Linked DNA regions of Tamandua tetradactyla. The protein of the gene in region 1 binds, or shares a complex with, the protein of each later gene. Links are inferred from orthologs where the notes say so. Each region holds a gene or a part of one and is shown in the gene's direction. Other genes may lie near its edges. The genes, in order: CRNKL1, SNIP1, ARMC7 and SNRPD3.

The links.
Region 2: CRNKL1 (region 1) and SNIP1 share a complex: the UniProt entries of both Homo sapiens proteins name them as parts of the minor spliceosome. The link is inferred for Tamandua tetradactyla from reciprocal best matches to the Homo sapiens genes CRNKL1 and SNIP1.
Region 3: CRNKL1 (region 1) and ARMC7 share a complex: the UniProt entries of both Homo sapiens proteins name them as parts of the minor spliceosome. The link is inferred for Tamandua tetradactyla from reciprocal best matches to the Homo sapiens genes CRNKL1 and ARMC7.
Region 4: CRNKL1 (region 1) and SNRPD3 share a complex: the UniProt entries of both Homo sapiens proteins name them as parts of the minor spliceosome. The link is inferred for Tamandua tetradactyla from reciprocal best matches to the Homo sapiens genes CRNKL1 and SNRPD3.

Annotation. Positions count from the first base shown.
Region 1 is NC_135327.1:40,346,142-40,352,984, forward strand, and holds the start of CRNKL1 (crooked neck-like protein 1), read left to right. Parts: upstream 1-3,838; 5' UTR 3,839-3,949; coding exon 3,950-4,000; intron 4,001-6,212; coding exon 6,213-6,365; intron 6,366-6,843. UniProt on the Homo sapiens protein: Involved in pre-mRNA splicing process. As a component of the minor spliceosome, involved in the splicing of U12-type introns in pre-mRNAs.
Region 2 is NC_135328.1:187,752,405-187,760,200, forward strand, and holds the start of SNIP1 (smad nuclear-interacting protein 1), read left to right. Parts: upstream 1-4,789; 5' UTR 4,790-5,047; intron 5,048-5,799; exon of another isoform or gene 5,800-5,876; 5' UTR 5,877-5,889; coding exon 5,890-6,119; intron 6,120-7,115; coding exon 7,116-7,218; intron 7,219-7,796. Other genes in the region: DNALI1 (axonemal dynein light intermediate polypeptide 1), read right to left, coding at 4,001-4,146, 4,607-4,687. UniProt on the Homo sapiens protein: Required for pre-mRNA splicing as component of the spliceosome. As a component of the minor spliceosome, involved in the splicing of U12-type introns in pre-mRNAs. Down-regulates NF-kappa-B signaling by competing with RELA for CREBBP/EP300 binding.
Region 3 is NC_135332.1:15,527,641-15,535,191, forward strand, and holds the start of ARMC7 (armadillo repeat-containing protein 7), read left to right. Parts: upstream 1-4,541; 5' UTR 4,542-4,843; coding exon 4,844-4,934; intron 4,935-5,024; coding exon 5,025-5,168; intron 5,169-7,551. Other genes in the region: SLC16A5 (monocarboxylate transporter 6), read left to right, coding at 1-25, 1,240-1,490. UniProt on the Homo sapiens protein: As a component of the minor spliceosome, involved in the splicing of U12-type introns in pre-mRNAs.
Region 4 is NC_135331.1:25,394,182-25,401,457, forward strand, and holds the start of SNRPD3 (small nuclear ribonucleoprotein Sm D3), read left to right. Parts: upstream 1-4,256; 5' UTR 4,257-4,879; intron 4,880-6,291; 5' UTR 6,292-6,309; coding exon 6,310-6,435; intron 6,436-7,276. Other genes in the region: protein GUCD1, read right to left, coding at 321-405, 3,814-3,856. UniProt on the Homo sapiens protein: Plays a role in pre-mRNA splicing as a core component of the spliceosomal U1, U2, U4 and U5 small nuclear ribonucleoproteins (snRNPs), the building blocks of the spliceosome.

The DNA of each region.
Region 1 (6,843 bases):
CATTAGAGAAATGCAAATCAAAACCACAAAGAGATATTATCTCACACTCACCAGAATGGCCATTATCAACAAAACAGAAAATGACAAGTGCTGGATAGGATGTGGAGAAAGAGGCACACTTATCCACTGTTGGTGGGAATGTCAAATGGTGCAACCACTGTGGAAGGCAGCTTGGCGGTTCCTCAAAAAGCTGAATATAGAATTGCCATATGACCCAGCAATATCATTGCTAGGTATCTACTCAGAGGACATAAGGGCAAAGACACAAACAGACATTTGCACACCAATGTTTTATAGCAGTATTATTACAATTGCAAGGAGATGGAAACAGCCAAAATGTCCATCAACAGATGAGTGGCTAAACAAACTGTGGTATATACATACAATGGAATATTATGCAGCTTTAAGACAGAACAAACTTATGAAGTATGTGACAACATGGATGGACCTTGAGAACATTATGCTGAGTGAGACTAGCCAAAAACTAAAGGACAAATACTGTATGGTTTCATTGATATGAACTGACATTGGTGAATAAACTTGGAATATTTTGTTTGTAACAGAGACCATCAGGAGATAGAAATAGGGTGAGATATTGGGTAATTGGAGCTGAAGGGATACAGACTGTGCAACAGGAGTGGATACAAAAACTCAGAAATGGACAGCACAATACTACCTAACTGTAATATAATTATGTTAAAACACTGAATGAAGCTGCATGTGAGAATGATAGAGGGAGGAGGGCTGGGGACATAAATGAAATTGGAAAGAAAGATAGATGTTAAAGATTGAGATGGTATAATCTAGGAATGCCTAGAGTGTATGATAGTGAAATGTACAAGGTACAATTTTAAAAATGTTTTTGCATGAGGAAGAACAAAGGAATGTCATTATTGCAGGGTGCTGAAAATAGATGGTAATTAATATTTTTAAATGTCACCTTCTCTGTGAGACTAAAGCAAAAAATGTTTATTAGTTACAAAATTTATATTTTGACTAGTGCATTTCCTAATATAACTTATGTAGATAGTTTGATTGAACACCATAAGTACTTGGAATCTCAGGTTGGACATGAGATTTTGCTGGTTTGTCCAGAGTGATGCCCCGATGAATCCCAGAGTGATTCAATCAGTGAGTGGAAAAGTATTTGCAAAGCCCCCATCGGGGAGTGGTGAGAATGCGGAGAAATTCAACTTCCCCAAGTTGAATTCTTGATATTCTCACAAGCAGTGTGGACAACCAAAGATATAGGCAGAGCCCCCAGTCTTGGGGTTTGTTCATATGAAACTGAACCCTGCAAAGGATAGGTCAAGTCTACTTAAAATTTAGGCCTAAGAGTCACCCCCAAGAAAGCCTCTTTTGTTGCTCATATGTGGCCCCTCTCTCCAGCCAACACAATGAGCAGTCTCACCACTCTACCCGTCTCTATGTGGGACATGACTCCCAGGGGTGTGGACCTTCCTGGCAACGTGGGACAGAGATCTCGGAATGAATGGAGGGGATTCATTGGGATTGAGAAAAACCCTAGAATGAGCTGAGACTTAGCATCAAGGGATTGAGAAAACCTTATCGACCAAAAGGGGGAAGAGGGAAATGAGACAAAGTGTCAATGGCTGATAGATTCCAAACAGAGTCAAGAGGTTACCCTGGAGGTTATTCTTATGCATCAAGTAGATATCATCTTGTTATTCAAGATGTAATGGAGAGGCTGGAGGGAACTGCCTGAAAATGTAGAGCTGTGTTCCAGTAGCCATGTTTCTTGAGGATGATTGAATAATGATACAGCTGTCACAATGTGACTGTGTGATTGTGAAAACCTTGTGTCTGATGCTCCTTTTATCTACCTTGTCAACAAAGGAGTAGAACATATGGAATAAAAATAAATAAGGGGAACAAATGCTAAAATAAATTTAGTTTAAATGCTAGTGAACAATGAAAGCAAGGGGTAAGGGGTATGGTAGGTATAATCCTTTTTTTTCTTTCCTGTGTTCATTTTATTTCTTCTTCTATTGTCTTTTTATTTCTTTTTCTGAATTAATGCAAATGTTCTAAGAAATGATGAATATGCAACTAAGTGATGATATTGTGAATTACTGATTATGTATGTTGTTTTATTTTGTTTCTTTATTTTTTTAATTAATAAATAAATTTTAAAAAAATTTAAAAAAAGATTCTGGAAAAAAAAAGAAGTCACTGTATTCCAATAGAATTCTATTTATGGATGCAAAAATTTGAATTTCATATAACTTTCATGTATAATGAAATATTCTTTCGTTTTTTTTCAAAAAAAGTTTTTTTAATGTTAAAAAAAATTTTTAGCTCACAGGCTGTACAAAAACAGGGTATGGGCCAAATCTGGAAAACCATTTCAGTTCTGAGGGGAAAACTGCCTCAACTATTCCAAAACAGAGGGAGTGGACCTCAGAGCTAAGAGACCACAAAGCCAAACTTCTATACCTAAAGATGAAAGTGAAATCATACTGAGAGAGAATACCATTCAAAGAAAGTTGTTGAAAGAACCAGTAAAAGATGAATTCCAGGAAGGAAAAAAAAATTAAAATCAGAAAGGATTGGAATGCAAGATGCAGTTCTGAGGGAAAAAAACAGTAAACATGAAGGTATATCTAAATAGGCATTGATGGCAAAAAGAAAAGTAATAATAATGATAAATTTCTGCTTAAAAGTAAAGTTGCACTAAATCACCAGAGAATAAAACATGTGAGATGCAAGCACAGTAAATAGAAGTAAAGTATTCTAGGGTATTTGTATCTTTGAGAGGAGGCTAGAGATTACTAACTTTAAACTTTGTTAAACATTATTACAAATTAAGGGTACTCACTAAACAATCTTCTATTTAAATATTTAAATAGAAGTATTTAAAGATAATATAGATGGTACAAAGTTATTGGAAATATTTTGATCTTCATTACAAACGGTTGCAGTTTGGGAAATCAGCTTAAATTTTTTTTAAGAAATAAATATCTGCATAGATAAAAGCAGTAAACTTGATATTATTACATACGTAAATATTTTTTTTTCTGGCAAACACCAGAGACTTGAACTGTCATAATTCTCTTAACCATTTGTTCGCACATACTTCATTTTTTTATTTTTGAAGGCTGGTCAAGAATTATACAAGTTAATATTTATGGAGCACTTTACATCGATTTTCTCTTTAATCCCTGTGAAATAGATATTATTGTTCTGTCGTTAGTCGAGGACGTTGAGGCTAAGAGTAAGTAAATAAGGCACACTCACAGAGAATTTATTTACATGACCATAAAGCTGGGTGGTTTGCTACTTAGACACTAGGCTGGCTTTCATTATTTTCTTGTGATTAATATCTGGCTTCAAAATATCTTCCATTATTTTTAACTTCCGAGTCTTGGCATTAATCTTCTGGGCACAACTGTTTCGAAACGGAGGGAGTGGACCTCACACTTAAGAGACCACAAAGCCTAGAATGCAACGCGGCGCCAGGCCGCCCGGGAGCGCAGCAGCTCGCGGCAGGGCATGCTGGGAGTGGTAGTTTCCTAGCCGCCCTAACTTCTCCAACCTTCGATAGCGTCCGAATTGGACCTCGGTCCCTAATCTCTAAAACGCGGCGGTTCCCCTTGTCTTCGTATTCCCGGTGACTGACCTAGGAATGCTCCGCTGACACCTTGAACCCAGTCTCCACGTCCCTCCCGGCCAGGCTAGTACTGCCCACCTTACCTGCAGCTTCGGAGGACGCACAACCCGGTTACCACAGAAACGGCGCTGCCTCCGTCACGGCGCGTGTTAGAGGTTAAGGGTCATCAAATCGGTTCCGGCTTCAGTTCCGGTTCCGGAATTCCGCTTGTTGTCGGAAAGCTTTGGAGTGTATGCTCCAAATACTCGAAGTATACTCCGAATACTCGGAGCAGGTTTCTGCCGTTCAAGGGGTGGCGTGTGGCGCACTGCTGCCGACATGGCGGCCTCCACCGCGGCCGGGAAGCAGCGGATTCCTAAAGTGGCCAAAGTAGGCGATAGCGAGGGATCTTGTGGGAGAGGGCCTGTAAGAAGAGTTTCCCCCAGACCCAACCTCCGTGGTGCCCGGGCAGGGGCGAATGTTATCCCGGGACCAGGGCCACCCCGCCTGGTGCCGCGGGAGAAGAGACAGGGAGGGTCAGCCGGTGGTCTGGCGCGGGCTTTTGTCTCCCCAGAGCACGACCCGCGTCGGCATGGCTTTAGTTTTGGGAAGGTGTTTTTGCTGGACGAGGAGAGAGGTCATTCAGCACAGTTTTATTGTGTTGGCGCTTAGCGCCTGTGTCTTACGCTAAATGTAACGTTGCAACCTCCTAAAGCTACTGGAGCAAAGTGGAAGATGCCATGGGCGAGAATAAGGGGAGTTCTGCGAAGCGGGGAGTCTTCAGAAAAAAAAACTTTGCTGAGGAAGTGATATTTAAGCTGAGACTTGATGGCTGAGTAAGAGTTAAGCCAGCGGAGACTGGAAGGAATGAGAGTAGGTTACAAGGGTTGTGGAGCTGCGTAAATGGAATTAAATAGTAAGCTTAATATTATCTGATAGTTCAATCCATGGCTCATATTTACCGGGTGCTTAATATGTGTCAAACTCTGTGCTCATCCTTTCCAAACATCGTTATCTCCTGTCTGTCTCCAGTCCAGATGTGTCTCTTGAGGTTGGCGTTTTCATCTCTATTTAGATATGATTCCTAGAGATAATGCAAATAAAGCACAGTATCTGGGACACAGTGCTCATTACTTACATGTGGCATTAAATATTTCTTATAATTCAATTTCATAAATTTTATTCAGTACCTTCTATATAAAATAGACCTGAAGGAACCAATACCGAGCAGGACTTGATCTAAAGTAGTGCTTTCCGGTAGAAATATAGTGTGTTCAAACGAAATATATGTAGTTTTAAATTTTCTCATAGCCGCATTAAAAAGTTAAAAAAAACAGGCGAAATTAATTTAAAAAACATTTTTAACCTCGTATATCTAAAATTTTGTCATTTTGACATGTAGTCAATATAAAAAATTTAATGGGGCAGTTTGCATTCTTTTTCATACTAAATTTTCAAAATTATATGTAGTTTGCGTTTAAAGCTAATCTCATTTGAATTCATCATATTTGGGCCATAGCTACTGTGTTGGACAGCACAGCTCTAAGACCTCAAGAAGTTTATAATCTAACCATGAGAACATGTTCAATATTGTCTTTGACTTGAGGTGATTTGAAAACCAATCCCTATTGTTTGAAAATGGGTAGAGGCGATGGTAACACATTATTGTGAGAATAACAGTATTATATGGTGTCTGAATGTGGTAGGAAGAGGAAGTTTAGAGTCATGTATGTCACCAGAAGGAAAGTTGGAGCTTAAAACATGGGAATGTATAATACTGTGAATCTTGTGATGGACAATGACTAATTGTACAAATATAAAAAATGTTCTTAAATGAACTAGAACAATTGTACAACATTATTACAAGGAGTTAATTATAGTAGGGTGCACTGGGGAAAATGTACATATTGCTAACTAATGACTATAGTTAACAGTAATATCTTAATATTCTTTCATCAGCAGTAACAGATGTGCCACACTATGAGTCATTAATGGGATATGGGAGGATTTGGGTTTTCTTTTTTCTTTTTATTGCTTTTATGTAGTAATGAAAATGTTCTAGAGTTGATCAAGGTGACGTATGCACAACTTATGTGATGATATCGTGGGTCAGCGATTGTATACTTCGGATGGTTTGTATGGTGTGTGAATATGTTAATAAAACTGCGTTAAAGATAAAAAAATAAAATCCAGTCCCTGTCGTCCCCTCAGGGCATCAAGATAAACTGAGGAGTCCCATAAATAGAGGTTGTAATGCCAAATAAGATATGGTACACATCTTGATAAAGCAATACCTCTGGTGAGAATTTTACCCAGACAGCCCCAAAGTTTATTGTTATATTAAGCTAAAGCGCAAACTTGCTATTATCACTACCTGTCTTCTTAACTCTTTTACTTATGGCTTTGGTAATAGATAAAATATACAAGATAGTAAGCATAATATTTTTTCTTTACAGTCTCATAGAAAAATGAAACATGTCATACAGATAGAGCATTTTATGATAATACGCATGAAGTTCACATCCTAAAAAAATTTTGGTTCTTTAAAAAATCTTATGTGAAGAGCATCTACCCAAACTAGAAATGTCTTCTGTCTTAAAAGGTGAAAAACAAAGCCCCTGCTGAGGTACAGATAACTGCTGAACAACTCTTAAGAGAAGCTAAAGAAAGAGAACTTGAGCTACTTCCACCTCCACCGCAACAGAAGATCACAGATGAAGAAGAGTTAAATGATTATAAACTAAGGAAAAGGAAGGTGAGTCCATGTGATATTTTTGAGAGTCTGTCAGTATTGACAAGAATTTATAGGTTAGAGTTTGAAAAGGTGCACATTAGAGAGTCTCTAAGATAAGATTAGTGTTTCTAGCCATGTGAATAATATAACTTCTGGTTACCAGATAACTACCTTTTGCTGAACTCTAAACGATGCCATGAGTTGTCTGTTTTAAAGTGTAAAGACATTAACTCCACCAGAGTCGTTATTTTTGATGCCAAATTGAAGATTTGTGAAACAACTGACAACTGTAAGAAGGGTGTACTTAGCAAATGTATTATATATTTTTGTCTCACTTCCCTTCTGTTTTAAGAATGGGGATATGAAAAAAGTGGTGAAAAGACTTGAATGTGATTTGACTTTCCCACGCTGGAGTGTGTGAATATTTTAAATTTAAGATAGTGTTTTTAACAATATACACTAATCCTGTTGTATCTACTTTTAGTCTCATTGAGTTGTA
Region 2 (7,796 bases), on another chromosome or scaffold:
GAGGAAAGAACGTACAGATGGTATTGTAGACCACTTATCCCGTAAAACATTAAAACTCCTCTCCCTGACAGATATGTTGATAACAAATCTCCAGATCCCTGTGTCATGTGAAACTCAATTCACGTACTCTGTGAAATGCCCTTGTCCTAAACCCTTATAAGCTGCTCCTTGCATTTCCACCCTTGCAGTGTGCTACTTTCATTTTTACCATATGGCCACCACTGGAGACCCGCTCCTGTTTGCAAGTCCTAATGAAACTCATGTCCGACTCTGTACCTAGTGTGTTTGGAGCTTGGGGCTGCATTGACTCAAGACCTTCAAGAGTTGAGTTGGAACAGGAGGCGTAGGTGAGTACTTAGGAGGTGTGTGCCTGCACAGGCCCCCCATAATGAACCTGGCAAGGCCAGGTACTGGAATCGCAAGGAAGCAGCCTGAGGGGAGAGGTCATTGGGGAGAGGACTTCTATACCATTGATGGGAGGAAAGCAACTGAAACATTTGCTCCCTTCCTTTGACCTCCACCTGTGAAGAGGTCATGGTCTTTTTTACTGTCTCCCTTCTCATCACAGCCTTCAAAACTGTATTACATTACATTACATTACATTACATTACATACAAACTGCATTACATTAAAAATAGTTGAGAAGGCATAGCTTTTGAAGATCTGGTTCAGTTGGTTCAGATGGCTTGACTACCCCACCCTGTTAGTTCCCACTTACGCTGGCTTGATTCTGGGGGTGCCCTTGGCTGCCTGGAGATCAGTCTCATTGGGAAGCTAAGACTGGTCAGTAGTGGCCTGGACACCTTGCTGACATCTGATGAGCCAGAGAAGCTCTCACGAGCATGGGCCAACTGAGCTTTCCAAATTTAGGTGGCTCTTGCATCAATATTGGCCAAAGCCTTGTCACCTTCCCCCTGAACTCAACTGGCATTCTTGTCTCCAGCCGCTCAACACCACACAACAGTGACTTTTCTAAAGCACAAAGTTGATGGTGACTCTGCCTTGATAAAAATCTCTTCAGGGGTTCCCTATTGCCACAGCAGCAGCTCTCACACTTATGACTGCACTCAACGTAAAAATGGATGTTAACATCATGATTCCATATACATACAAGTGCACGTCCACAGAGATGCACACACACACATAACGGATACAGGTTTCATGAAATGAAATTTACCCTGATGACATGAGATGTAATCTGTTATTTTCTGTTCTATTCTATCCTATCGTTTCCTGTTCCAGTTTTTAAATGCTGGGACTAGCCTCTACCTTAATTTCATTGAATAAATGGGTTGTGGTCCAGTTTGAGAAACTCTGGACTACAGACACCCTTCACAATCCAAGTCCATGCTTGTCTACTCAGTCTCCATGTGGTCACGCCCCTCATTCTCCCTATTTGCCTTGCATGTGCTGGTTCCCCTACCTGGAGCGCTCTCCCCATCTCATTTGCCTGATAAACTCCTTTCCCTACTTCGAAAATCAGCTCCTAGGAAAGATCCCTCAGCAAGCGGAGTAGATGAACTCTCTGTGTCATAACAGACTAATGGATGGTTCCATTAGACTCCTGTCAAGCTCTCCCATAGGACGCTGTGATGGATTCAATCATGTCCCCACAAAGTCATGTTCAAGTTGCAACTCCTAGTCCTGTTGGCATGGACTCGTTTGCAAACATGATCTTCAAAGATCCTATTTAGATGTGGTCAAATTGAACCAGAGTGGGCCTAAATCTAGTATGACTGTAGTCCTTATAAAAAGGAAATTTGGACACACAAGTACAAGCCATAGGAGAAGACAGAAAGAGACAGATCGGCATGTAATAGAGGCAGAGAATGACTGCTGGCTAGTGAGCCAGCGCCAGAATGCTATAGACTTTGGAGAAGGCAAGTCCTGATAATACCTTAATTTTGGCCTTCTAGTCTCTCCACTGTGAGCCAGTAGTGTCCTGTTGTTTAAGCCAAACAGTTTGCGGTATTTTGTTATAGGAGCAATGCCAACTAAAACAGACCTTTACTTCTTTGTGTGTCCTTTTAAACTCTAAGCTCCTTGACTGTAGGTTTTTGTTTAAATTAGAATTTCATCTCTGTATCCTCAGATACAGACATTATGTCTGGCTTATGGTAAATAATCAGTAACTAGTGTGCTGAACTGAGAGAGGAAATAGGACATTCAAATTCCCAAACTAGAACACTTCACCTGCAATGCCAGCAGCCCACTGTGGGGATCCTAAATCTGTATGTCTCAAAAGGGTTCATGTAGGCTTTCAGATATGCCTCACGGGAGATAGTCTATCATGGTGGAAAGGTATATGGATTTTGAATTCAAAGATATCAGGAGTCCAGCTCTGCTTCTTTCGTCTATGGACATAATATTGGTGTTCACTGATATCCAGTTCTCCTCTTTTTCCAGGCCCAAAGTCTACTTCCTCCTTGAGACAGGGCTATGTGATTTGATTTGGCAGCCCAATGTGAAACAGAAGTGCCACATGTTCCTTTTGAGTGGAAGCATTTAATTGCTGGGGCTCAACTTTATACCTTCCTCTCTCAATTCTTAGCGATAATGGAAAAGCTCTGAGAGCATGTGGACACCTGACCAGGCAAGTACCTTGTAAACCTAACTTCCGTAAGTGTCAAACTTTTCCTGAAACTTCTAAAACAATCCAGAGATGCTTTATCTATATGCGATTTGCTGAGGTTCCATCTCTTTCAAGCCAAAGATAAGTATTTTTGGAGGAAACACCTTCAAGGAAATGATTCTTACGATTTGACATGACTTGCCTTCTGGTGTGATGAGCACCCCGTTTGTTCTTTCCTTCAACAAATATTTTGGAATGCACAGGGGAGAGAGCAAAGCCTCTGATCTTGAGGAGTTTATATGCGAGTAGTGGGAAAAGGAGGCACAGACCATGAACCAATAGTTATGTCTGGTGGTGATAAATGTTGCAGAAGAATTAGGTGGAGTAAAGGGATCATGTTGGAGAGTGGGTGCTCTCTTATAAAATGCTCAAGGAAACATTCCTTGAGGAAATGACATCTGAGCAAGACCAGGGTGAAAAAATGGGATGTTGGGAGAAGAACATCTTCAGTAGTAGGAACAGCAACTGCCAAGGCCTTGATGTGGGAGAGAGACTGTGGTGTTTTAGAAATAGCAAGTGGAGGCTATGTGGCTTTGGCACAGCAAATAAGGAGAGTAACAGCAGATAAGACAATGGACATGGTGTAGACCAGACAGATCATGCCAGGCCTTTCAGGCCATGGTAAGGGTTTCAGATTGTAGCAGGCACGAGATGGGAGGCCATTAGAAACTTCTGGGAAAAGACTGGCATGACCTGATTTATGGTTTAGGGGCTGTGTTGGGAACAGATTGTAGGGACAAAGAGTAAAAGTGGTTTCTAACTTTGAGGCCGCAGCAGAAGTGCCAATGCTAAAGAATGACTTGGAACGAGATGCTGGAGGCAGGGGTGGTGAAAAGGGATCAGATTTGGGACATAATTTGAAGGTAGAGCCAACAGGGTTTGATGAAGGATCAGACATGTGATATGAGAGACTAAAGGCAATGAAAGATGGCCTGAGCACCTAGTAAAAGACAGCTACCACTTACTGAGAAGATGAAGACAGTATGAGCAGGTTGGGGGAAGAAGAAAACGTGACTTAGTTTGGATATTTTGAGTTCGAGATGCATATTAGACATCTTTGGAAGTAGAATATATGGGTCTGGAGTTTAAAGAAGCTGAAAGGGCTGGAAATAAGCGTTTGGGAGTCATTGGCATATGGATAGTATTTAAAGCCATGAGATTGGATGAGAGCATTCAGGAAATGAGAGTAGATAGAGAAGCCATCTCCTCCCCATCCTCCCAGGAATCAGGTATCTGCAAACTCTAGCAATTCTAGGATACTGGGGGGAAACTCAAGCTAGGAATAGAGGCAGGGGTCTTTTCCATATTCCCAAGTCCTGGGATGCAAAAGCCTGGGCTTTCTCCCAGGTACTGCTCCTGCTTTTTTACCTTGGCGGCAGAATGGCATTCAAGATTTCTTCTGCCTGCTTTGTAGGGTCTGGGACAGAGGAAGTTGAGGGAAGTTTGGTCTTTGGTGGCTGTGGGACTGGACCCGAGGGTCCAGGCTGCTGGGGGCTGACTTTCAGTGGCCGAGCCTGAAAAGATAGACAGGCTCGGGTAAGAGGCACTCAGCTCCACACATACTGGCCCCCTGGATGGCCTCCTGTCTCCTGCACATCCCTCCCCTATTCCTGGCTCACGTTTACCTTCTGTCTTCTCAGCAGAAATTGACTCAAAGTCAAAGGAGGCCATCAAGAGCCTCTGGTCCCACTCCAACCATTTTTGGCAAGGGTGCTCGGGGCTTTGCTTTCACATCTCGAGCAATGGAGAAATCACTACCTGATTTATTATTGAACGCGGCTACCAAAAAAAAAAGATTAAGTCTGATCCTAAATCTGCTTTCCGGAGGCACATCCAATATCTGGCCTTCTTGTGCTGCTTTTCCACCCTCCTTCCCCTGCAGCCTCTCTCCCTCGGTTTTCCAGACCCTCAACGAGATGTGTCTTCCTCCATCGGAACGTCCCGGCTCCCCGGACCCCCGAGAGCCGTCCTTACTTTGGGGCTCCGTTTCTCCGTATTCCGGCTCACTAGCACCGGGGTATCGTACTTGAGCAGTGAGTCTGCGGGAGGAATCATGGCGACACAAGGGGTAGTAACCCAGCAGCCACCCCTCTAGTCTAGGCCTGTTTGCCGTAACCATGGAAACCCCCTTTCCAAGCCTCATTGCCTGGGCGGGGCTTCGGTGTGGGGCGGGGCCAGAGGCGAGCGAATCTCATTCTCTTGCCCTGTGTTTGCGGAAAGTTCTCCTTCAGCTAAGCTTTCCCGACTTCTTGCCCGCCAGCCCGCCCGCTTGCCCCTGGGCTTTTGGAAGCAGGATAAGCTTGAGTTCGAGTCTCTAAACTCCGTTAAACTGCGTTTGAATGAGGGATCAGGCCACCTGTAAAATGGGAGTTATCTCCCAGTGAAGGATTGATTGAGGAAGGTTCCCGTTGGAAGGTATGTGGAGTTCCCAAACTTCTAATTTTTTAAAAAAGTATTTTTTTTATCAAATGGAGAAATTACAACATAACAGAGTTCAGAAAATAGGAAAAAAGCATTATTGATTTTCCAAAATCCACCATCTATGATTGCATTTCCTCCTTTCCTTTTCTTCATGTGTTTCTGAACGTAAATGAAATCAGAATTTGGACCCAATTTTGTATTGTACTTTTTCTGTTTAAGTCAGCGCTTTTTCCATTCGCCATAGTTTGTAAAGAGCATTGCCTTGGCGACATAACATTCCATCAATGGGCTAGGCAATTACCTACTGCTAGGCATTTAAGTTGTTTCAGTGTTTTGTAATTACTAATGACGTGACAAGCCCTTGAGAGTATGTAGCTTTTTCCAAGTTGCTTTTTTCCCCTGATAATGTGGTTTAATTGCAGTTTTTCCAAAAGTATCTCCTTTCCCAGTTAAAAAAATATATACAGATATGTTAAAGCCTGCCCCTGCCCCCTCAATGGGCGGTGAGCACAGTTCTCAGGGAGGGCAGCCACGCCTCTCCCGGGGCCTCCCAGGACAGTCCCTGTGTGGGAGCAGGGGACGCGTCCTCGCTGACCTACAGCCCGGATCCCGTTCCCTTTCCAAGCTGCTTTTGAAACTTGAAATTCCCGCCTCCGGAACTAGTGCACTACGGCCCCGCCCACTACGGGGTCGTGGTCACGTGTTTGGAGTCTCCGCCGCTAGGGTTTCTGGGAGAGCGCTCACCCCGGAAGGGGAAAGCCAGGGGCCAAATCCGTCATTTCCTTCATCAAGCCGAGCTCCAGCGATCTCTTCTTTCCCTCAGCGTAGGTCGCGGAATGAAGGAGGTAAAGAATGAGCGGGAGCGGGGCAGCCGGCGAAGGCACCGGGATGGAGATGTGGTGGTGGTGGCGGCGGCAGCGGTGGTGGTGAAGCAGGAGCGCCTCAGCCCGGAAGCAGCGCCTCCAGCTCACCGCCGACCCGAGTCGTCTGGCGGAAGCCCGTCCCTGCCTGCCGGCGAGCCGAGTCGCCCGGGTCACCACGGAAACCGAGTCCGAGGAGGCAGCCGGTAAGTGGAGAGAGGCCCGAGATGGATCTTGGGTTGGTTTCGTTGAGAAGAGAGGGCAGGGCTGGCATCAGAAATAACGAATGCTGGGCTCGGCAGCTTGGACATAATCCTGGAGGCGAAGAAAGTGACTCAGTCAGCCTTGAGTTAAACGTTTACGCCTGCATCTGCCACCTGATTTATAGCTGGGCCTTTAGCGCCTAATGCGCAGGATTCCATCTCTTCATCTTGATGTTTCCAGCACCCAGCAGAGTATGGTCCAGAAGATAGCATTAATAGTTTCTAAACTTGAAAGATCTATTAAATTGAGAGGTTTTCCCTGTCTGCCCGTCAAGCCAGGGCGGGTGTTCTTCCAATTCTTTGCGCCAAAAGGTTCCCACATTGAGGGCCCAGGAGATCTACCTGATGGAAACTCTGAAGAAAAAAAAAAAGATTTGTGAGACTCAATGATTTATTCACTCATTCAACATATATTTTTATTGAGCACCTAGACTTATACCAAGTACGAGGCCTCAAGGATGAATAAGACAGTCTTTATCTTTGATGGAATAGATGTTCTCTATCCTTGGCATAAACAAAAAGCAAATAAATGAAATAGTTTTAATTAGTAACAAATATTAAGGATAAGTTCAAATAGTAATGTGATAGTGAGGAATTGGAGGGCAGAAGGAGGCCTCTCTGAACGGGGGGCCTGAATGATGAGAATGATCGAGCCTTGTTAAGATAACAGGCAGGGGAAACAACAGTGCAAAGAACCAGAAGTGGAATTTAATGTTATATTTTCTAAGGGAAAAGTCCTGGTAGGCAATTATATAGGTGGGTCTGGAACTCAAGGAAGACCTTAGGGATAGGAAAGTGAGACTCCTGACTCCTTTTCTGTGATTAGCAGAGACCTTCACAGGTGTGTTTCTGTTAGTAGATAAGCCTGATACTTGAAGTTGATTTACATGGTGGAAGGGACGTTGAGATAAAATCTTGTATGTACCATGCTCTGAAAAGGTCCCCAGCCAAAAAGAAGAGCAAGTCCTCAGGGAGAAGAGGCAAGTCTCCTCGGAATAAGAGAAGCCGAAGTCCTCACCATTCCACAGTCAAAGTGAAGCAGGTAAGTTGAAGTGCGTGCTTTGACTTTAGGTCCAAAGGTATAGCTTTTTCCTATCATTGATAAAGAAGGTGTTTTCATCTGTACCAGAAAAGGGCTTTGCTTTTTTTTAAAATTAAGTTTATTTTGAGATATTTGTTGATTCGTATGAAGTTGTAAGAAATAAAACGGGGAATTATTCCTTTACCTGGTTTCCCCCGTAGTATATCTTGCAGAAATATAGTATAGTATCACAATCAGAATATTGACATTGATAGAGTCATAAAGCAGCATTTCCATCACCACAGAATCTCTTTTATATATTTTTATACAAATATAAATGCACGCACACACATACCTCTTATAAACACACACACTTTCCTCCCACCCTTACCCCTTCTTAACCCTTGGCAACTGCTATCGCTGACATCTACTGATTTTTCCTCCATTTCTGTAATTTTATCATTTCAAGAATGTTACATAAATGGAATCACACAGTATGTAACCTTTTGGGGTTAGCTGTTGCCACTCAGAAGAATTTTTGGAGATCTATTCATCTAGCAATAGTTCATTCCTTTTTCTTGCTAATATTCCATGGTGTG
Region 3 (7,551 bases), on another chromosome or scaffold:
ATCCTCATCTCCCCGCCGATAGCCGGTGAGGCCCTGGGAAGGGAGGGTAGCCCTGATGGTGGAGGTGGGACAAGGGATGGGGACAGGGCACAGCCTGGACAGACTGGGGGCTCCTCTGGCACCTGCAGGGGCAGGAGCTTGGGGTCTGTCTTTCCCAGCACCCCAAGGGACCACACTGCAGCCTCTGCCCCAGTCAGTGTTTGGGGTGTGGGTGCCAGACCTACCAGGGTCCTTCATCTTCCTCTATGTGCCTCAGTTTCCTTATCAGGAAAGTGGGGGGTAATAATAGCATCTTAAACTCATCAGCTTGTTGTAAGGATTAGGAGTTACAAAGAGCTCAGCAGAGACCCTGGCACATAGTAAGTGGCACTGTGTAGGTGCTTGCTACGATTGACATCCTAATATTTGGAGGTTATAGTCACATATTCACATAGGTTCTCCTACTTCCTGCCTGTGGGGACCTAGGCAAGTTATTTTCCTTCTCTGAGCCACAATGTGGTCTGCACAATGTTGAAAAGAATGCCTGTCACCTATCAGGAATTCACCTGTGCCAGTCCCTAGGTGGGTGTGGCTGAATACCAAGACCCGGCCCCTCCACCCTTGGGCTTCCCTTCTGGAGGAGGGGTCAGGAATTAAAGAACCTGTCTGTAATTACGATGGTGATTTGTACAGAACATGGCGATAGGGATCCACATGAGAGGACCTAGGTGTGGGCTGCAGCTGAGAGCTTCATTCAGAGTAAATGAGAAAAGGTTTGTAAAGCGCTTGGTGCCAGGATGCAGGCAACAGACAGCATGTCGGGGCGGTTAATACAGTAAGACCCAGCAGGTCGACTCCAGTCCAGTGGGAGAGCCTTCCCCCAAGTTCTCCAAGCAAAGCACACAGGAGGAAGTCTGGGCAGAACCTGGGAGGTGGCTGTGCAAACATCCCAGTCTCCACTAGTCCAGTCTTCTTGGTTCCCAGCCACCAAGGGTGAGAAGTCACCCCTTAAGTTGCCCTCTGGCCAAAATTTTTTGAGAATTCTCCCTGCCCCAGGCCAAAGTAGATAAAGCATTTCCTCCCCTCCTTTCATCCAACAATGATCTTTATCAAGTACCTTCCAGGTGCCAGCTATGCCTCCTGGCACTGTGGACAAAGAGAAACAAAAATAAAGTCCCTGTTTGTGGTGAGCATAGTATGGTGGGGAGGGGAGTATCCAGGAGCCCTGGGCAGTGGCCTGACTTGCTCTCTGTCCCCCAGGATTCCTGCTGGATGCCACCAACAACAACTTCAGCTATGTTTTTTACATGTCGAGCTTCATCCTCATCTCGGCTGCCCTCTTCATGGGCGGCAGCTTCTGTGCCCTGCAGAGGAAGGAGAGGCAGGGCAGGCAGGCTGAGAAGGAAGGAGCCATCATGGAGGCTGCCCCGGAGCAGGAACTTTTCCTGGAGGGCACAGATGGTCCTGGCAAGCGGCCGTGCCCCGAGATCATGTATGTGACCACTGTCTGAGCCCTGAGGTTAGTGAGTGACCACTGTCTCAGCCCAGGAATGGCACGTCAGTTGCTTCACCAGAGGCTGTGGCCAAGGGCTGCCCCAGGGAGCTTGGAACAGGTTTCACAAATGAGACCTGGCCAGGAGCTGGGACCTTGGATGCTGCCCTCCGAAGGCTCAGAGGTATTTCCAACCAGCAGAATCCAGGAGTGGATTCTTCTGACTTTTTCCCTTGGGTTCCACCAACCGGGGGCCCAGGAAGGCTTGGGTCTGACATAGCTGACTCTGCTCAGCTGGCCACCCATGACTACTCCCACAACTCAGCACAATGAACTTTCCAGTCCAAACTGCATGCCTTCAGCGTGATCACACTTTGTCTTCGAGACAATTCCAAAGAGCTCATCCCTCTTTCAGGGCCCTCCTGCCGTCCTCCTTCCCAAGTGACCCAGCCCCTGCCCTTGGCAGCCACAGCTGGCCCAGGCTGCCCCCACCACAGGTTGCCTCACACTGACTGGAAGTCTGGGATGAAGGGACCCATGAGAGACTGTGATGTGGCCTGCGGGCTGGAGGGCCAGGCTGAGGAGTTGGCCTGGACACAGGATTTGACAGATTAAACGTTGGGTGGTGTCCCCATCCTGGTGTCTGTGCAGAGATGTGGAGGGGAGCCCCTGGTGAAGCCTAAGGGGACTTCCTCCTCATTTAGCAGGGTCTGCTCTAGGGTCTCCTTCCCTCCTTTGCACCCCCACCCTGTAGTCTTGGCATAGAACATCAGGCCTGGTATGGGAGGAAGTCAGGCGGTCAGTTGTCCAGGGGAGAAGAAGACTGGCTAACTAATGTCCAGGGACCTTTGTGAAAATAGGGCTGCTTTTGTGAAGGAAGCCCTTGCACTTCCCTCTCCTGCCCTCCCAAGCCCCCTTCACCCTGCTATGTCAAGGCGTCAGCTGAGGGTAAGGAGTTGGCTGGGCCGGCTGCCAGTCCACTCCTGGGCCCTGGAGACCAGAGCTTCCCTCTGCACTTGGCCGGTGCCCTTCCCTGAGGTCACCCCAAGGCCCTCCAGGGACTGGCTGTCATCAGCTCAGACTTGTCCCAGCAGGATACCCACCTAGGGGGGGGGATGAAAAACAGGGTCTGTTTGAATTACATACAAAAACACTCCCTGCAGCGGATTATGAATCACTGGAGATTATGAATCCAGTGAACTCTTAAGAGAACAGGCCTAGAGGACATTCCCTCCTCTCCACTTGGCAGGGGCTTTGCAAGGCTTCTCAAAACCTTGTTGATTCAGGCTCAGCCAGGCTCGGACAAGAAAACCTTATCAGGCCAAGGAGAATTGATTTCATTTTCATAACCTGACCCCAGCCTTCCTCCCCACTGATCCAGCGGGTGTGAATAAGCATCCTTGGGGATGTCCTCCCGACTCCCCCAGGAGCCTGTCACGAGTGCCCCCTATTAGTCAGTCGTGGTAGTGCAGGGGCAAGGCAAGAGTACTGGGCTGGGACGGAGACCAGAGTTGATGTTGAACTCAGAAACAACTTGCTGTAACTTTAGGCAAATTGTTCCCCATCTCTGGGCCTTTAAAAAGGAGCTTGGCCTGGATGAGCATGCTCTGAAGGAGTAGAAAAGAGGGCAGTTGGGGGCTGGTAGGTAGATTAGTACTTTGATATGTTGTGTCTCCCCATATAGGCCCATTTCCTGAAAACAAATTTATTTTAAGGAAAAAAAAATTGAATATTCAACATAGAGTACTTTGACCCTGACCTCATTTCCCCCCAGGCAAAAGTGGCAATAAACCCTGGGCAGAATCCCTTCAACAAAAAATTTTATTGAGACCTTAAAGACCTGGTCGCTGCCTTCAGAACAAAACAAAGGACTAAGAATTCTTTCCCAAGGAGAAGGATCCCTGAGGGTTTGGGAGGGAATAAAGCCAAACACTTGAGGGATGGTGGGGTGGCCCATCTAATTCTAGAACCCAAATTTAGCTGATTAGCCTGGGACTAGTCTAGAGGACCTGGGGCAACTCCTGCCTCCAGGCCTTTGCTGTTCAATCCAGGCAGAGAGCTACATGTCTCCCAGCTTTGGACTGTGATGCATGTCCCTGTGCCACTTCAGCTCCTCACAGAAGCCAAAGACCTGGGGAGGGGGCTGGGGCCACCACCCTCTCCAACAGTTTGGGTACCCTGAGCTCCGACTACTGTTAAAACCGCTCCAGAGGGTGTGTGCAGAACAGGGCTGACCACAGGGACCTAGTAGGTCTGCAGAAAGTAGGGGCCTGCTCCCAAGGGAGCTGCTGCTGGCTGGACTGTTGTCACTGTCCAGCCTCTGGATGTCACACGGTCCTCACCCTCAAGAAGCTCACGGCCTAAGCCCACTTCCCCCCCACATTTTCAAGCACAATGGGAGTGGTGGTGTTACCTCTTTCCCTGATGCTCCAGTCCCGGGCACCCACGAGGTCCGTTACATACCTCCTTTCTGGGAGGTCCTGAGAAGGAACTGGGCCGGAGGACTTCGGCACCCAGGACCCCACAACCCAGAAAGCCGCCAGTGGGACACATGGGTAAACCCAGGTTCCTTCTAGGGCTCACCGATGCTGTCCCAGGCGCCCCCGCCTGCCTTGCTAACAATGAGCCATGGGATAGTCTCCAACCCGCGTGATTGATGGCCAGAGGTGGGGAGGAGGGGGCGTCGGACTCGCCCAACTTTTTGGAAAAGCCGCCCCAATTGTAAAGTCATAGGACCGACACGGGGAACGGGGAGCTGACGCAAGAGCTACGCAGGAGCGTCCCTGGGCCGAGGAGGCCAAGTTGCGACCCCCGCCAAGTATGTGGAGGTCTGGAGGTGCCTCTGCCTCGACGAGCCCCCACAGCGGTGCCTCTGATTCCCCAGAGGCGCTCCTTAACGCCACCCCCGACCCTCCCACCAACCTGAGGCCCATTCTCTGCTCGCGGTCGGACTGGTGCCACAAAGTACACCCCGAGTAACGCGAGGGAAGCCACGCCCCTTTCCCCGCCCCTTCCGCCCTGCGGGGTGGGAACTAGCACAACTTCCGCCGGAGGCCGGAACCCCGCGGAGAGCAGAGCGTTGGAGTCGGGGATGCGGATGCTGGTCCCTCCCCTTCCGCTTTAAGTGGCAGGGACACCCGGGTCTCCAGTTCCCCAATTTTGACTTAGCGTCCCGAGACCCCATCCCACCCCCACATCCCAGTCTAAGCCTCAAGTTACAGCACAACCTGAACCCAGGAAAAGAACCCGTTTCCCGTCCCGGCCCCGGCTTCTCCGACGGGTGGTCGGTCCGGTGAGGTCCACGTCTGGCTGCCCGGCTTCGCCTCCCACGCCCTCCCCGCCCGGGCCCCGGGGCCCTCCGCCGCGGCGACGATGGCCCAGAAGCCGAAGGTAGACCCTCATGTCGGGCGGCTGGGATACCTGCAGGCGTTGGTCACGGAATTCCAGGAGACGGAGAGCCAGGGTGAGAGCCGCGAGTGGGAGCCAGGGGCCGGGGTGGAGGTGCGGCCGCGGCCGCCGGGGACCTGCCTCCAGCGCCGCTTTCCCGTTGCAGACGCCAAGGAGCAAGTCCTGGCCAACCTCGCCAACTTCGCCTATGACCCCAACAACTACGGGTATCTGCGGCAGCTGCAGGTCCTGGATTTGTTCCTTGATTCGCTGTCAGAGGAGAATGAGACCCTGGTGGAGTTTGCCATCGGTAAGGATGGGGTCGCCTTCTCCCCCCACCCCCACGAGCCCAACCTTCCCCTTGCACTGCCTGGGAGGCTGGAGTGAGATCAGTGAGAAGTGAGTTCTTCGGAAGGGAGTCTTAAGCAGCCCCTCGGCTGTAAAGGCAGATCTTTGCGATGTCTGTTATGCCTCCTCGGTTGTCCAAGGTCACAGGTAGTTTGAGACAAGCCTGTAACTTCACACCCAGGACCCTCTCTCTCCTGCTTAGAGGCGAGATCACAAATGAGGGAATGGATTGAAGCTATTTTGAGATTACTCTGTCTTTAATGTTTTAATTTCAAAAAACATAAGGATGACTTGGGCTCTCTAGCTTATAGCTCCTGAAGTTGTTATGGTCTTACGACCTATTGAATGTATGTTTATTGGGTCTGTCCTGACAGCAAGGTGCTGTTCTAAGAGGAGATGTCAAACAAGTTGGGAAAATGTGTTTGTCCTCAGGGGGCTTACATTCCAGTAAAGAGAGAATTGGTGAACAAGCAAACAAAAAAGGTGATACTGTGAACCGAATTGCCAGGGGTAAGATAAATCAATAACAGTTGGGGGCTACTTCCATTTTGGCCATCAGAGGAAGGGCGTATAGGCTGAGGCATGGCATGGACAAAGACCTGAAAGCAGGAAGGAGCCAGAGGAAGGTTAGTGTGGCAGGGCTGTGGCAAGTAAAGGGGAGAGTGGTATAAAAGGAGGTCAGAGGGTTTGGCAGTGCCAGAGCTTACAGGGCCTTGGGTCAAGGCTATGTGGAAAGAGCTTGGAATTTATTCTGAGAGCAAACAAAAATTATTTTTTCATTATACATCTTTAAAAAAAAAACATATCTCTATTTAAAAATAACAGTCCTCTAAGTGACAGGAGTTTTATTTACATAGGCAAAAGAAACTTTTAATAATAATTCCTAATATTTACCCGGTATGCACATCTCTTCAGTAGTCCCCAAAGGGACATTTTGTTGTTGTCGTTGGTTAGGATAAGCCAGGATCCAGTCCAAGATCCTTGAGTTTCCTCTGGTTGTTAAATGGTCCCTTAAATCTCTCTTTCTCTGTTTTTAATCAACATTTTAAGTTTAGAACAGTTTTAGAAAAATTGCAAACATAATACAGAGTTCCCATATACCTGGGTTCCCCTGTTTAGCGTCTGACATTACTGTGATACATTTGTTGCAGTCAGTGAACCAACAGTGATATATTATTAAATTAAAATTTGTACTTTATGCAAATTTCCTTTCTGTTCCTGGATCCCATCCAGAATCCCACATTACATTTATGTTTTTTTTTTTATTAAATTTTTTCTCTTTTACAGAATCTTTATTACGAATGGTCAGTGTTAAAAGTGTGAAATGTATAGAAGCCATTGCTTGTGAAGTCATTTGCGTGCTCTAGTTGTAGAGATGCAACATCAAGTTCATTGCTACATATGAGTACAGATTTTCTTCCTGGGCTATGTGATTTGGAGTTTGCTCTCTTTATCAGAGTCATAAAAGTTAAATCATACTCTGTCTTTCCTTTTATGTCTGGCTTATTTCACTCAGCATTATATCCTCTAGGTTCATCCATGTTGTCAGTGCTTCAGGACGTCATTTCATCTTACCGCTGCATATAGTATTCCATCGCGTATATATACCACATTTTGTTTATCTGCTCTTCAGCTAATGGACATTTGGATTGTTCCATCTTTTGGCGGTTATGAATAGTGGGTGCAAATGTCTGTTCATATCACTGTTCTCAGCTCTTCTGGGTATATACCCAGTATTGGTGTTGCCAGGTCATAGGGCACTTGATATTTAGTTTTATAAAAACTGCCAGACTGTCTACCACAGCTGCTGAACGATTGGTTATACATTTCTACCAGCAGTGCCTAAGTGTTCTGGTTTTTCTACATTCTCCTGTTTGTTTAATAGCAGCCATTCTTATAAGTATGAAATAATATCTCAGTATAGTTTTGATTTGCATTTGCATTATAGCTAATGAAGATGATATGCTTTTTGACCATTTGTTTTTGCCCTTTGGAAAAATGTCTATTCATATCTTTTGGCCATTTTATAACTGGATTGATTGTTCTTTAGTTGTTGAGTTGTATAATTTCTTTATGTACACAGGATAGCAAACCTTTATCCGATATATGGTTGCCAAATATTTTCTCCTGTTGAGTTGGCTGCCTCTTCATCTTTTTGACAAACTCGGCTGCCTCTCCATCTTTTGACAAACTCCTTTAAGGCACAGAAGCTTTTGATTTTAAGAAGTTCTTATTTACCTATTTTTTCTTTCGTAGCTTGTGCTTTAAGTGTAAAGTTCAAGAAGTTACCTCTTATTACTAGGTCTTGAAGATGTTTCCCTATATTTTCTTCTAGGAGTTCTATG
Region 4 (7,276 bases), on another chromosome or scaffold:
CGGTCCCAGGAAGCGGGTCGGATACACGTGTGGTCCCTTCCAGCCCCAATGTTCCCACAGCCTCGGTTCAGCGCTTAGCTCCCTGGTGATACAGTCTCCCACAGCCAGGCCAAGGCCAGTGGGTGGAGGGTCCCCAGTCCCAGTCGTGGGACTGATCAGTGGTGCTGAGGCCTGGACACCCGGCAGGACCCCTGGCCCATCTCTGTAAGAGGGGACCAGCCCGGGGGGAAGCTGGGCCCCCCGCAGCGCCCTGGGGACAAGCAGTCCCACCGGGCCCCCCCACCCCCCGGCCCAGGGCAAGGCGCTGGCCGCACACTCACTGCAGCACCATCCTGGAGCAGGCCAGGCCGCAGTCCCAGTGGTAGAGCTGCTGGATGACGGGCACGGGCAGCTGCACAAAGTCCCCTGCACGGACACACAGGGAGTCACTGCTGCCCCGGCCACCCTGGCCTCAGCTGCCCCAGCAGCTTCCCCATCATCAGTCCTGTGTAACCCTGCAGAGGCAGCGTGGGGCCCAGTCCTCAGCCCCCATGCTGTCTCCCTGTAACAGCCAGTGACCTCCCCAAAACGCCAGGCCCCCAACGGGGGGGGGGGTTCCCTCTCTTCTTGGGAGAGTGCTGTTGTGGCTGCTGCCTTAATACCACGACTCCTTGCCTACCCTCGCTCCCACCAAGCCAACCCTCTCACTCCTGGTTGCCCAAGAGCCTGAGCTAAGACAGGACACTTACCCTGTGGGGCCCAGCTCCCCATTATATGCACGCACAGCCCCCCAAACCTCTCCCTCTGAGCCCCCTGGAACGAGCCCTGAGCAGGCTGTGTGGCCTCTGATCTGTATCCCAGGGCCGGCACGTAGGGTTACCCAGCAGACATGTAAGTCTGGATTCATAAGGCCCCTGGTACTGCCTGAAACCAAAGCCCCAGGACCACCCGAGTGCCACCTGCCACAAAGCAGGCGGGTGGGATGCCCTGCAGCTGTCCCTGGATGCCCTCTGATCCACCTTCACCACAGCAGTGAGGGGAGCAGAAGGGACCTGAGCTGGGCACCATGGGTGCGGCTCAGCCACCGGCGGCCAGTGCAGTGGGCAGCTGACTTCCTTGTGCTGAACTGGGGTGGGACTTGGATGTGATTCAGTCATTCAGTTGACAGATGTTTCCCGAGAGCCCACTGGGTGCCTGGCACGTGGACCGGAGAGCGGAAATGAGCTCGGTGGCCATGTCAAGGGTAATGGGAAGAACGGGTGCTAGGCTGGGGGAGACGGTGAGGGGTACCTAGGAGGGGGTGAGTCTGGGGGAAGCCCGGAGCAGTGCCATGTGTGCCCTGAGACCCGGAGGCTGAGCAGAGGGTGGTCTGTGGACAGAGAACCAGCTGTGCGCTGGGCTCGGTGAGCTGGCTGCGGCTCACTAGGACCATGGGTTCCTCCTCCTTTGGACTAAGGTCAGAGTCTAAAGAACCAAAAGGAACTCACCATTGCCAGCTCCCAGCCACATTACTCATTAATGACACCCGCCTGGCAAATGAAAACCCAGCCTGCTCTGAAGGTCTTGGGGGGGTGCTCCTGGGCTGTGCAACCCAGTCCCATGCCACATCATGGGGGGTCCTAGTGCCCCACTCCCCTACACACTCAGGAGGGGTCACTGGCTAGTCCTGGAGCCTGTCCTGGGCTTTCCAGCCTCTGCCTTTGCCTATGCAGCCCATCGACTGGCGGGCCCCCAAGCTCCTGTGCTCCTGCGTCTAACCGCTCCCCAGCCTTCGAGGCCTGGCTTAGAAGCCACCTCCTCCTGGGTGGGTGGGGGGTCCTAACCTCACCTGGCCATGCCCTCAACCTCCTCAGCACCCTGCCACACCCAGGACGGGAACTGTGCTTTCTGCCCTCCACCCCTCAGCTCACAGGGGCCGCAGCAAGACTACCGGGGGCAGGCCTGGGCAAGCAAAGGCCTGACCTCAGCACCAGGCCTCTGGATGGGGCATTCCATCCCTAGAGTCTAATGCTTAGCAACAACTCAACACCTTCGAAGGTGTCTGAATTATCCCCCCAAAGGGTTTGCCTGAGTGGAGGGTGCAGGTGCTGTGCCACCATGGCGTGGGGTGGGGGGTGCTTCTCTTTTCACGAACACCTTGCTGTCACCATGAACTGCCTTTTGGTTTTTCTCTACCCAGGCGGTTGACCTGCCCCCACCCCCTGGCCTTCCCCCTTGTAGATCCTCAGCCTGGAATGTCCTTTCCCATCTCTGAATGTCCAAATGCTCGAATCCCTCTCTGGGCCCCTCGGCGGAAACGCTGGATGCAGAGCATTGGCAGGAGCACCAAAGGGGGGTGGCTTTGCTCCCTCCAGGCCTCGGCCCAGGGTGGGCGCTCAGGCAAGCCTGGTGAGTGGAGGGTGATTTCCGGTGAGGACTTCACCTCAAGATGCCCGGGTCTGCCTGTCACCACGGCACCACACCCCCCTGCACCCCTCTCCCCCCGCCAGTTTCCAGACCACATCCCTCTGCTCGCAGCTGTCTTCTTACTCTGGGGTCACTGGATGACCTTTGGCCAGGCCTTCAACCCGGTCACTCTGTCCCCTGTGCCCACCTGCCAAGTGTGGCACCCCACAGCTCCTCTCGAGGGCCCTTGGAGACTCAGCTGCCCCCCGTCCTCTTGTCCTGAGCTCTAGAACCCCTTGATCCTGAGACCCCACAGGACCAAACACCCCCACAGGGCTGCCCCCAGCCTTAGCACGGGCAGGCCAGCCCATTGGGACCCAGAGAGGCTCCTGCGGGGGATGATAAGGGTAGGCAGGCCATGGCCTTCATGCCGATAACGGCTTCAGCCGCCCAAGCCCCACGCTGCCGCCGCATGTCGAGGCCTGGAGCCCAGGGAGGGCCACAGGAGGCCACCCGAGAGCCAGGGCCGGCCTGGCAAGGGAGGAGGGGAACTTGCCGAACTTCACACCCTCTGTCTACTCATCTGCAGAAGTGGAAATAGTAACAGTAACCTGCTTCCTTGGGTTGTTATGAGGGCTAATGCATACAAACAACTTAGCATGGTACCTGCCTCATAGAAGCCCCTACAAATATCAGTCATGACTCCACTGAGGGTGAGAACAGGCAACTGTCTTGCCTAAGACTGCAGAGTTAGATAACTAGAGGAGACAATGTGAATCCCAGTGGGCAAAAGACCCCCTGCTCCATGGTGCCACCAGAGGGGACTGCCACCGCTACCCCCCTCCACCACTGACACCTTAGGGTCAGGGTCCCCCTTGCTCATGACCTCTCCTATGATCCTTGGAGTTTGCAAACACTTTCCTTTCCCCCTCCCCCACTTCTCCAACCAGGCCCAGGGCACCAACTGCCAGTCTTGGGGCAGAAGGAAGAAACTAGAGGTTGAAAAATTCTAGCAAGACAAGGTGATGACCCAGGGGTCTGGGAGCCCAGGTGAAGGGGCCTCCTCTAGCTCGGCCCTCTCTGGCCACTTCCCTGCCCGACTCTGGGCCTCAGCTTGCCTCCAAGTTCCCCAGGGGACAGGGTCTTCCAAGGCGGCTCCCACTGGGCTTTCCACCTCTGATCATATCCCGGGAATCCCCACGGGCCGCTCCAGAGCTGACTGGGGTCCCAGCCCCGTGGAGATCAGGGCTCCCCGATGGGCTCGGGGCTCGGGGATGGGGGGCGAGGCGAGAGTGTCCAGCTAGACAGGTCTCACTCGAAGCTCTATGCTCGACCCCAGGCGGCGGTCGGCCCAAGGTCGCCCGGCCGGACCCTGCCTGCCCCGCCTCGGGGCGGGGTCCCCCTTCGGTCCCCCGGGAGAAGTCCGAGCCCTCGGGCGGAGGCACTGACCCGGCTCGAGCGGCGGTCCCGCTGCCTCCGCCTCCGTCCTCATGACCCGGGCGCGGGACGCCCATGGCCCCAGCCCGGCGCGGGCGGCGGCTTCGGCTTCGGCTGGGGCGTGAGCGCAGCCCACGACGGCCCGGTTCCGCCGCCGCCACCTCCGCCACGGCGGAGGGGAGAGGAGGAGGCGGCGGCCCGGCCGCCCCCGGCCCCGCCCCGGCCTTTCCAGGCCTCCTCCCGGGAGGCCCCGCCTCGCGCCGGGGCTCCGCCCTGGCCTGTGCCCCTGGAGGCCCCGCCCTTCCCACACCGAGGTTTCCGATAGGTCTTCGGCCCGTTGAGCTACGGCCGACTCGACCATTCGTAGGCTCGGCTGCTGGTTGGCCCTGCCCCACTCCTCACACCGACGCCTCCGTTTCCCGGAAGACCCGCCCCCGAAGCCCAGGCCATCGGCCCGCGCGGCAAGTCCCGCCCAGCCGGGTCTCGGTCCTTAGCCGGCCTCAGGTGGGCGCCGCAGGGGTTCCAAGAGACCTAGCTCTGCCCAGACCCCCCAGACGGACCGCAGTCTACTGTATACCTCGGTTTCCCTTTCTGTACAATGGAATACCTCGCGCCACTTACCTGGAGGCGCCAGGTTCCAACGACTAAATTGTGAAGGGAGGTCCCGGCCCTCCGCTCCACTGCCTGCCGTCCCCGATCTGAGGGCCGAGGTCCCGGATGCCCGCCTTGCAATCCATCGCGTCCCTGATGCGGGGTGCCTGGAAGCGCGAGCTGCCCTCTCCTCTGGCCCGCCCGAGGGTCGGGGTTTCCGGCGGCACCCGGGCCCTGTCATCAGCCCCTCTCTTCTGGGGCCGGAACTATAGTGCCACAGCCTGCGTTTCCCAGCCGGCGGAGTGAGGAGGAAGCCGAGGCGGGACCGCGCCCCCCACTGGAGAAAGGGAGGGGCGGGCCCTTCGCGCGGCATTTTGGGAACGCGGGGAATTCTGGGAGCGCGGGGCCCGCCATTCGCTCTCTTCACGCCTTCGTCGACACTCGAGTTGCCGCGTTACAGAAGAGGAGGAAACGGAGGCCGGAGCCGGTGAGGGAAGGCTGGAAATGGGTGAGGGGAGGCGGAGGCTCCCTGGGAGGGTTGGGGGCTGGAGAAGGCCACGCTGCCGAGAAGCGCCGAGGGTTGAGGGGAGGGGAGAGAGCGGGAAACCCGGGCCACGCAGCGTCAGCTTCGCGTTCACTTCTCCCCAGCTTTCTGGCTTATTTTGTTTGTTTCTATCCGAGTCAATCGTTTTCGAAGCCTCCAGGCCATAATCTCGACATCCTCTCTAATTGAATGTTTTCCCCTCCCCCCAACCCCCAGTCTCGTGTACGTAGTCATTTTCGGAAGGTAGGCACCGAATCCTTCTCCTCGTGCTTTCCACACTGTCGCCGGACCTTTAACAAGTCTCTCTGCTTCTGAGCTATATGTTTAATTCATCCTGTAAATGCTGCTTCCTTTTCATGGGGTCATTCCTTCCCCCGTCCTGCAGCAATTGGTTCCCTGCTGTCTGCAGCACAAAATTCGAACTCCTAAGGCTGAAACTCAGAGGTCCTCACCCAGGGAGCCCATCTTTCCCAACCTGAGGGCCCCTTTTCTCTCCACGTACATCCTTCCCCTTGCTTTCTTTTGGATGCACATGATGTGTTCCAACCTTCATTTTTGCTCACCTCAGAGTAAAAAGTCCGGTGTTTTTGCTTTTTTTAATTAGGTCAAGCCAGGCCCTTGCCCTGATTTTTCTGTCCTCTAAGATGAGCATTGTTTGTTTAAAGCAGGTTGTCATTTTGTGAGCACTTTAATGTTTTCTCTTTAGTCCCCGTGGTGAAGTGAATGGGGCACCAGTAGATACTCAGTGGATTGAGTTAAAAATGCAGCCTCCTCTCCAGGATTTGTCTGTGGATCCTTTGGTCCAAATCCACACTGTGCAGTTCGAAGCCACTGGCTGTTAAGCACGTGGAATGCGGCCAGTGTGGATGAGGAATATACTTTATTTCATTTCAGTTAATTTTAAATTTAAATCGTGACGGGCTGACAGTGCCAATTGTGTCTGACAGCTCATAGTTCTCAAAGTGAAGCATCACCCACAACCGTGTGTTGGCAGATGCATTGTGCAGCATATGCAGTTGCCCCACTCCCATATTGATGAATGATTATTTTGGTGAAGATAAAGGGACGTACCCTAGATGCCCCATACTGAAAAGTAGATGGAAAGTACTTTTGCGTTCCCCTAGTCTTATCTCTTTTCAGCCCCCCATTTCTCCCATCACCCAGCTTGCATGTGCTTCCTGGATAGACTCCTCCAAGCTGTGCTCTAAGCTCCTTTTTTCAGTAGTAGAAGAAAAACAGCTTTGGCATCTCTGCCAATCGTTTTGGAGTGCCAGGTCTTGAGGGAGGCATGGTCTGTCTGCAGTGCCTTCTCAAGCTCTGAAAGTTGAACTAACTGTTCTCTTTCTTGCTCTTAGAACTCTCTTCTCTCCAAGATGTCAATTGGTGTGCCAATTAAAGTCCTGCATGAGGCTGAGGGCCACATCGTGACATGCGAGACGAACACCGGGGAGGTGTATCGTGGGAAGCTCATTGAGGCAGAGGACAACATGAACTGCCAGGTATCTTGCTTGGCGCTTGAGGTTGTGGGGGAGCCTGGGCCTATGTGTTGGAGGACAGAAGAGTGATGATTGTGGGTTCTTTTAAATTTATTTTCATTCAGCAGTTATTTACTTAGTACTTAACGTGTGTCATTTTGTTGGAGGTGCCAGGGATGTGGGCATGAACAGGACAATCATGGTCTGGAGCAGAAGAGCTCTTTGGAAACTTTTTGTCCTCTATTCTCTCCTTCTCATAATTATTTTCTCCCATATCTTGGGGGCATGTTTGACAGAAGTGCCACTACTCCCCTCAAGAGACCATTTACCCTCCACATGTTCCCCTAACTACAGCTACTCACCTACTATGTGTATTTGCCTTTTTTTTCCCTGGGTTAAGAGGTTCTATTTGATTCTTCCAATTACCTTGTAAGGTAGGTAGATTTGGTGATAGTTTTGTCATCCATAAAATAGGGAGCGTGAGATTAAAGAACTCGTCTGCTGAACTTCACCCTGTTAATAAATTGCAGAACAGCCTCCTGGTGCCCTTCCATGTCCCTGTGTCCCTGGTATGCATTTTGTTATTTTTCATGTGGTTTTATATGGCGTTACTTTACAAAGTGTCTAGCACAGTTTCTTTGTTCTTTAAACAGCCAAGTAAGAGCTTGGGTTTTTAAATCAGTGAGAGATGTGTCTTTGAATCCTGATTGTATGACCTGGGGCATTTCAGTTTCCTCATCTGTAAAATGGAGATGATTTCACTTCAGGTACTCTGAGATGCACACATCAAGACAGAATTGGACATGCAAGAGATTTGTTTTGGGAAAATATCAATAGAGGATTAAAGGCAGGGAGGTGTAGACAG